2 linked regions of the Cricetulus griseus genome follow. The main gene of each other region encodes a partner of the protein of the gene in region 2 in a complex. Links are inferred from orthologs where the notes say so. Each region holds a gene or a part of one and is shown on either strand. Other genes may lie near its edges.

The links. The genes of interacting proteins can lie anywhere in the genome.
Region 1: the proteins of Lpl (region 2) and Gpihbp1 are in contact, whole or in part, in a crystal structure (PDB 6OAU), measured with the Homo sapiens proteins. The link is inferred for Cricetulus griseus from reciprocal best matches to the Homo sapiens genes LPL and GPIHBP1. Residues at the interface, in NP_000228.1 of Homo sapiens: Tyr367, Gly368, Thr369, Ala371, Glu372, Glu374, Leu403, Met404, Lys406, Lys430, Lys440, Ile443, Cys445, Ser446, Arg447, Glu448, Val463, Lys464, Cys465, His466, Asp467, Ser469; in NP_835466.2 of Homo sapiens: Cys68, Lys69, Ser70, Leu92, Ala94, His95, Gly96, Asn97, Thr98, Glu99, Ser100, Leu103, Thr104, Thr105, Ser107, Trp109, Cys110, Thr111, Asp112, Ile117, Lys119, Val121, Glu122, Thr124, Val126, Met128.

What each region holds. Positions count from the first base shown.
Region 1 is NC_048595.1:372,879,169-372,882,810, reverse strand, and holds Gpihbp1 (glycosylphosphatidylinositol-anchored high density lipoprotein-binding protein 1), read right to left. Parts: upstream 2,336-3,642; coding exon 2,284-2,335; intron 1,977-2,283; coding exon 1,851-1,976; intron 1,458-1,850; coding exon 1,341-1,457; intron 1,242-1,340; coding exon 1,086-1,241; intron 1,038-1,085; coding exon 799-1,037; 3' UTR 522-798; downstream 1-521.
Region 2 is NW_023276806.1:245,574,441-245,578,740, reverse strand, and holds the start of Lpl (lipoprotein lipase), read right to left. Parts: upstream 2,910-4,300; 5' UTR 2,666-2,909; coding exon 2,578-2,665; intron 1-2,577. UniProt on the Homo sapiens protein: Key enzyme in triglyceride metabolism.

The sequences.
Region 1 (3,642 bases), on a different chromosome or scaffold from region 2:
GTCAAGGAAGCCAAGAACTCAGCTGCTAAGGGCCACACCCAGTTAAGGACTGCCAATCCGCCAAGTGGCCAGGTTCCCCATCAAGGAGGTGCCTCCCCCAGCCAGAAAAGGTACCCACCCACCCAGGCAGGGATGGGTGCTAGCCATTTCTCTGCCACTAGAACCCATCGGGCTTTTCATTCCCAGACCTGCTGCCCATCTTGGGCTCCTGGAGGCCTGGGCTGTGAGAGAGGGTCTGGAATCCTTAAAAGGATGAATTTCTTGGCCAGGTTGCAGCTGGGAAATCCCCTACTCAGCAGCTGGGCCTTCCTGCCTGTTCTGCCTCCTCCCTTCCTTGACTGTAGTTACTCTACCTCAACCCTGCAACTTTCCTGGTCTCCCTCCAAGACTCCCTCTTTCCAGGTGGCTGAGGATCACCCTGCACCTCACACCTGTGAAAGGGCTGAGTTTATTTAGATGGTGGCTCCGGGGAATAATTTCATGCTGGCAAATTCAGGAAGAGAATTCGGCTTACAGGCTTGCTATTATCTCTGTGCAGCTGGGCAGGTGGGACCCCTGTAAGCTGACCATCCCTAGAGCACTGGCAGGAGATGCCTGGACCCGAGGCTGACATGGTACCCAGGGAGCTGCCCATGGCTGAGGAGAAGAAGGTGAGGAGGCCTGAGGGTGAAACTGAGGACAGAGAATGGTCAGAGGAGCTACAGCTAGCTGGATTGCAAAAGGAATTCAAGTTTATTCTCTGAAGCTGGCTGTGGGGAAGGGGAGGCCAGGGTATCCTGTTAGGAGGAGGGTAGGTCTTCAGACCCCTAATGTCCATAGACTAGTGAGGAGGCTGAGCAGGAGGGCTGTGTTACCAAATTTGTGCCAGCCTGGAGGGCATCCTGCCCCACTGCCCTGGGGCTTGTTAGCTCTTCCACCCTTGGGCAAGCTAGCCCCATCACTCTGAGGACGGGTAATCTTGACAACCTGGGGGTGGTCAATCCTGCCATCTTGAGGATGTCTGACTCCACCATCCAGGGGGCTACCTGCAATGCCACCTTGAGAACGTCTGGCTCCACCATCCACGGGGCTGCCTGCTTGTCCACCCAAAGAGTCCTGGACTTGGGGGCTTTGCCAGGGTGGAATATTGCACAGTGTGGACTGGCAACAGCTCTTGGTCACCTGGGTGCCTAATACCGTCTTGGTGAAGGGTTGGCAGGTATCGGTACACCACATGGAGTAGGTGGTCAACAGACCTTTGTCTAGGGGGTGTGGAGAACAGGTAGTGAGGGCAGGGCGTGGGTGTCAGTGTGGGCTCCTTCTCTGACCCCCTCCCTGGGTGTGCCTCTCCAAATGCTCACCAGTGTTGCCATGGGAGATGAATGTGGTGCAGAAGGTCTTACTGTGGTAGCAGCTCTGTGTCTGGTTGCAGCTCTCCCCACTGTGTAGCGACTGGCAGATGTAGCACTGTAAAGATTCTGTGGGTAGCAGGCCAGCTCAGGTTGAGAGTAGGGCCATCCCCAAGTACTTGCCCTCATCATCCACCACCCATCACCCACTAGTCCTCTTGAAAGAGCCTGTGCCTTGAGCTATTAAGGACGACAGAACATGGGGGTCAGTCAGATAAGCTGAAACCCAGGGCTAAGGAAGCACGTAGGCAGGGGTGGGGGTGGGGTGGACAGAGAGGGGCAGACTTGAGTGTTAGCTCAGGGTGGAGAAAACTGCAGCCTGAGAAGAGAGCCGGTGTGCTGGCATGCTGGGTCCTGGCTTGGATGCCAGCAGCTTGCTCTGCTTTACCCTCGGGATAGGAGGTAAGTGATAGAGAATGCCCCATGCAGAGCAGGAGGCGGGCCCTCAGCTGGGGTGGGTACCTCTGTCCCTGCTGCCAGGGACCATGTTGGTCTCCTCTTCTTCCTCCTCTTCATAGTCATCTTCGTAGCCATAGCTCTCTGGCCCCAAGTCCACATCGCCATCTTCTTCTTGTGCCTGCCTGCTCCCTGGTGGTGCAGTGACATCTGTGAGCCTCGGCTATCCAGACGCAGAGAACACACTCGGGGTTGAGCACTAAGTCCTGACCCTAACATGCCCTCTTTCCCGGGTCCTTTCCATTTTATACAAGGAGACAGAATTCTCCCCATCTCCACCCCTGTAGTGCTGAAGCAGTCAAGCCTGCAGCCGGCAGAAGGAAGGGGCCCCAGGCCCTCCATCTTCCTCCCTAAGCCTATTCCTTGTCCATGGGATAAGGGGTTCCTGGAGGTACTCATGAGTCAGGACTGGACTACCCCTTCTTGGGATGACCCTCACCTGACTGTCCACTTAGCAGCAAGACCAGAAGGACAACCCTGAGTGCCTTCATCCTGGAGCAGGCTGTTCTGTCCAGTGTTGCACTCCTCACTCGGGCTTCTGGGTCTGCAGTAAGTGGGACATAGGGCATTACTGGGGGCTTCCCGTGGCCCCCACCAGCTCTAACCTGAAACAATAGGCTTCACATTGGTTTTCAGCTGCAGGCGGCGCCAGGCCAGGAACATCGCTTTCCTCAAGGACCTCCGGGGACAGAGAGGAAAGGGAAGTTGTTATATTGGCCTTGGTTGTGCTGTCCACCTGAGCTGTTCCCATTGCCTGGTGGGGGGCTACAAAAGGTAAGTGCTGGCCTCAGGAACCACCTTGTCCTGTCCTGACTCCTGGGCCTCCAGGCCTCAGCATTGTCATGCTTGATGTGGGTGAGCTTGATGAGATAAGCACCTATCCCAAACCTCTGGGGACCCTGGATGCACAGCTACAAGGGCTTAGGACTCTATCTGAGGGCCACAGGCAGGTACCTTCCACCTGAGTGCAGAGTATTCAGATGAGAGCATGGTCTGTCCAACTTAGCTCGGAGAACCACTCTTCCTCTCACCTCCTGGCCTTGATCTTGCTGGCCCAGGCTCCTGCTGCACTGGCCGCCTCTTCCTTAGACTGTAACTCTTTCCCCCTTCAATCTCTTTATGAGTTAGTTACCTCTCCTGAAGTTTCCCTACTGCTCCATATCACACTTGGTTGGATGGTTGTCCCTTGATAGTGCAGCCTCTAACCCCTCAAGGATACCCCGACCACTGATGAGGCTACAGAAGGTAGGTGCTGTCCCTGGGCTTCTGCACTTAGGTAGGTGTTGACTTTGAGGCAGGGAGCCTTCTGGGACTGGCTATAATCTACCTGGCCTGGCTTCTGCCTGGCAAAGCCATTGACTCCAGCCACTGTCTCCCCCAGGGTACTCTGTGTGAGCCCTTGGTGGCGTCAGGTCTCTCTCTGGGTGCAGGGGTAGTATGGCCTCTTTGTTTGACAGCACCAATAGTGGGGGCACACACTGTTCCCAGTGCTACATCCACCCTCCCAGACCCAGCATATACTGTCCCCAGCCCTACAGGGGAGTTTGCAGATGGGAGAGCTAGGTCCCGGAGAGTCATGTTCCCTCACCTGAGGTATGGAGGGAGGCTGGCCAGGAGGTTGAATCAGTGTCAGGCCCTGGGAAGTTTGCCTGTCTTGTGGTTTGCGCCAGTTCCTTGTCTAAGCCTCAGACTCCTGGATCGTATGTAGGGCGTAGGAGAAATGGCCAGTCTCCAGGGGTTGTTTAGAGCAAACATTTGAGTCCCAACTTCCAGTCCCAGCTCCTCAAATCGTCTAACC
Region 2 (4,300 bases):
TGCAGCCAGCCCAGCAATGGTGGCACCTACTTTTAATCCCAGGATTAGGGAGGCAGAGGCAGGCGGGTCTCTGTGAGTTCGAGACCAGACTGGTTTACAGAATGAGTTCCAGGACAGCCTAATCTACACATAGAAAACCTTGCCTCAAAAACAAAACAAAACAGCAAAAAAGATGCAGCCTTTGTGATAATAAGGTGGAAACCGGCCGTGGTCAGAGGGAAAAGGGACACATGGCATGCTGGACAACCTGACAGAACAGAAGCAGTCAACTGAGTGTAACCGTCTCCTCTACAATGCAGCAGCAAAGGGAAGCTGTGCTAAAAATACACTCAGAGAAAGAAACTGAACATCTTTCCATTGCAACTCTCCCTGCCACGTGACTCCCCCCACCTTTCAATCCAGCTATTAATCAATCACTCCCCTGTCAAGTTCTCTCCTAGTGACATTTGCCATTGCTGTCATTATCCAGTTATTTAACTATGATATTAACCCGCAAGTGAGCACTGTGCCCTGAGGAACAGGACTTCACAGAGCAGGGCCCTCTCTGCTCCCTCTTTTAGCTCTCTACTTTCCTGACTGGAGCCAGGAGGGGCTGCAGAGGCTCCAGGAAGAAGTCTCCAGGGCAATGTCTCTCATACGAGGGCACTGTTCCCAGAAAAAAAAAAAATCAAGAGCGATCAAGGAAACTCAAAGCCCAAAGGGAAACTGGGGTCACTCCAAGCTGTGCCTTTCCCACAGTCTTGCCCCTGGGGGAATTCATTTGTGAGAGAAAGGACTAGAAGGTGCTGTGATAGAAGAAGCACACCGGTAGAGAGAACAGAAAGATGATCAGAGAGAATAATTTTACATCTGCTTCAGCATACTATTCCCTAACACATTTTGTTGATAGGAAAATCAGGTGTTGGCTAAAATCCAAAATTATTACGCAATTACTTAGGTGTCCATTTAAATTATAGTATAAGATTGGGACCTCACTTTGAGGCTTGCCAGCTTCTCTAATGTTAGAACCCATGTAGCTAACCCCACAAGGGTGACACACGATGTGGCTGAGAAGCTGGGTCCAGAGCTTATAAGGAAACCTTAGCAAAATTTGAAGATGTGGACGACCCCAGGGGCGTTTACAGTAAAAGCAGTTTTATACTGCGATGTGCTTTCTGGAATATGAATTAACCAGAGTAGCAAACTGTACAGAAAGACAATCTGCTCCAGGAAAGCCACAATATTTGTGTCCTCAAACACCTGAGATTCTTATCTTCCTTGCAGTTCTCCCATGATTGATTCTCTCTTCTCTGATAACTCAGCAAAGACATTTACAACTATATGCAGAAATAAAGCTCGCTTTCAGCTGCAGTCCCAGACTCCACTAAGACTGCAGTCCCAGACTCCACTGGAATTAGGCTGCGGACTTGCCACCTTAGAGCACCTCCAGGGAACACCACCTTCATGGCGATTCCACCAGCAGCAACACAAGGAAACAACAGCCTCCTTTTATGACTGGGTTCAGTTACATTTTGAGTCTGTGCTCTGTTAGCTCAACCAAGGTTCAAGTTACAAGGCTTCTCAATTGTGGGCAGGTCTCGACTGCAAGGCCATAAAGAAACTCACAACTGACCCTAGTCGTCTTCTCTAAGCAGAGAGAGCAGGCAGCGCCCTGTAGGTGACCGCCTTTGTGACAGTAGTGCTGACTGAAACCTCCCTGGACACTAGAAAACCACTTGTTCTCTAAGCTAGCAGAGCACCTCTCCTCGGGCGAGCGTTTCCTGGGAGAACAGAAAGAGTAGAGTGCCGAACTGGCAACCCCCAAGCCAAAGGCCCCAGAGTACTGTGGCTGAGTCACGTTTTCCCGAGGATCAGCCGTTTACTGGGTTTTCTTAGGTACTGAGCTAAACGGAGGGCAAGAGCTTGGAGAGTGGATAGCTCCCCGGCTCAGGAACGCGTGCAGGACGCTGGGTCCTAGGACTCCGGGCCACGCGTTCCTCTACGCCACCGCCACGGCGCACTGCACTCCCACTCCCAGCTCGTAGCGTTGCCCGGAGAGCGACAATGCCCTGTGCAGCCGGGACGCAGACAACGCGTCCTCCCACCCCCATCCCTGATGAAGCCACACTCGGCTCACTCTTCCCGCCTTCAGAAGTGTCGGACCCGTAGTCCCAGCCAAATTAGAGTCACCTTGGCCTCGGTGCTTTGCATTCAGCACTCCCACTCCCTAAGAGGAGGTTAGAACTTGTCACTAGTGCATCGCCCCCGACCTCCAGGTCTCCCCCATCCCTTCGGTCACACCCCCGGCCCTTCCCTGCTATGGCCCGCGGCGGGAGAGAGCTAGGGACAGAGCGGGAAACCGGGAGAGAGAGAGAAAAAAGCGGGAACCCGGAGTTGCCGCAGCGTGATCAAAGGCTGAGTCTTTCCTTGCTCCTACTGAATTCTGCTCCAGCCACCCTTCCTGGGACTCCCTTTCCCTGATGCGCCCGGGAGTCCCAGTGAGCGCCGCTTCCAACTTTCTCCTTCCCATCTTCAGATGGAGAGGAAATGGTCTCGATCCGGTCTGCAGGTGGAGGCAAGTCGGCGCTCAAAACGTACCGTCTGCTGCGGCCACCCCTCCTTGGGAGGCGGTCAAACTCTGGAGCCACACTCCCAGAGCCACCAGGAGCAGGGCTTTGCTCTCCATCTCCCTGGGCGTCCTTCTGCTTTGCTGTGGGAAGTGCGCGGCGCGGTGCGGACGAGCGGGCGAGCGGGCGGGCGGACGGGCGGGCGGGCTGGAGCAGATACGTGTAGCAAGGGGTTGAGCAGGAGGCGCCAAAGGGCTGGAGCGCGGTAGAGCGCCGCAGGGCAAGTCAACCTTTAAAGAGGGGAGGGCAGGGCAGCTGGAAGGGACAGAATTCCTCGGAGGAGGAGGAATCGAATCTGACGGTTTCCACTCCACTGCTGCTTAAGTGACTGGAAATATGCAAATAAGCCTCATCACCTATTGGCTATAAAATCATAAGTTGGGGGGAGGACTCTAAATTCACTTCCAAATATTTGAGCAAACTAGCGAGGCTCAACGGTGCCAGCAAGAAGCGGGGGAAAGGGCGGGAGGGAAATCTTGCTTGTGGTTTAAGCTCTGCTTTGCTTACCCTGAGGAACCTGCCCCCCCCGCCCCCCAGGGACTCCTGTGGATACACGGAGGAGGGGTTTAAGTATTCAACCATCAGTTTTCCGAGTGGAGGAAATTTTGCTCTTAAAAGACAGCTGCCCAACGCTTTGATTCCTTCTCCCTTTTGATGAATCCTCTTTGTTAAACTTAAGAGTTCTTTTCTACAGTACCGTTGCCCCATTCCTCCCCCACCCCTGCGCCCAAGGGACCTTATGACGTACACTGCTCAGCGCCCGGTGCTTTCACAGCCTGCTTTTTATCGTTGGCAATATGGATTTCCTTCTGTGGTAGAAGAACAGGCCCACTTGTGTTAACTAGTTTCTAATTTTGCCTTATGCAAATTGTACTCTTGTTTTCTAATTCAACAAGAAACGCAAGAATAACATTTGTCTTCAGAGGCAGAAGGTCATGGTCAAATATTTTAAGCTATACTGGGTTCTCCGTGGAAGAAGCCATTCTAAAAGGCACGCATTTTGCACCATCCCAAACCTACAAAGACAGGAAATAGATTAGTGATGGCCCAGGATGAAGGAATATGGAGCGCTGGGGGTTAGGGGGATGTAGAAATATTCTGATTCCATTATGATTGGCACTGCACAACTTTTTAGATGCATTAATATTGAATTGTACTCTGCATGGGCGAACACTGAGCTTTTTGCAAAGTGGATTAGGACATGTACGTAGAATGAGAAGAAAAATAAAGTCACATCCTATACTATGCCTGTCTGCCCCCAAAACGTGGAATATTTGCATCTTTTTAAATGAAGAGGATGCTGATTGGCTAGAAAGAAAGTAAACATTAAACACCCCACATTAAAGCTGAGAAGTCACCTCAGAAAATCAGAACCTCCAACAGGCTTTCTTTACTGATCTTGATATTTTTAATTGGCTGTCTCTCCGAAACACACACACACACACACACACACACACACACACACACACACACACTTACACAATAAGCTTCGATATAGGCCCACTTTTTAAGTTTTCTCAAAACTACAACATAAAAGCTGAACATGCTTTTCTGTAGATGAGTTCTGTCCCTCCCTCCTCATGTCTCAGTTTCTTATTTTGCACTGCAATCCTTAAACAGTGTATCATCCACATTCATTACCAGCTCCAAAGCTTGACAGCTGGCAAGAGTGAAACTCCACTGAACAACTTTGG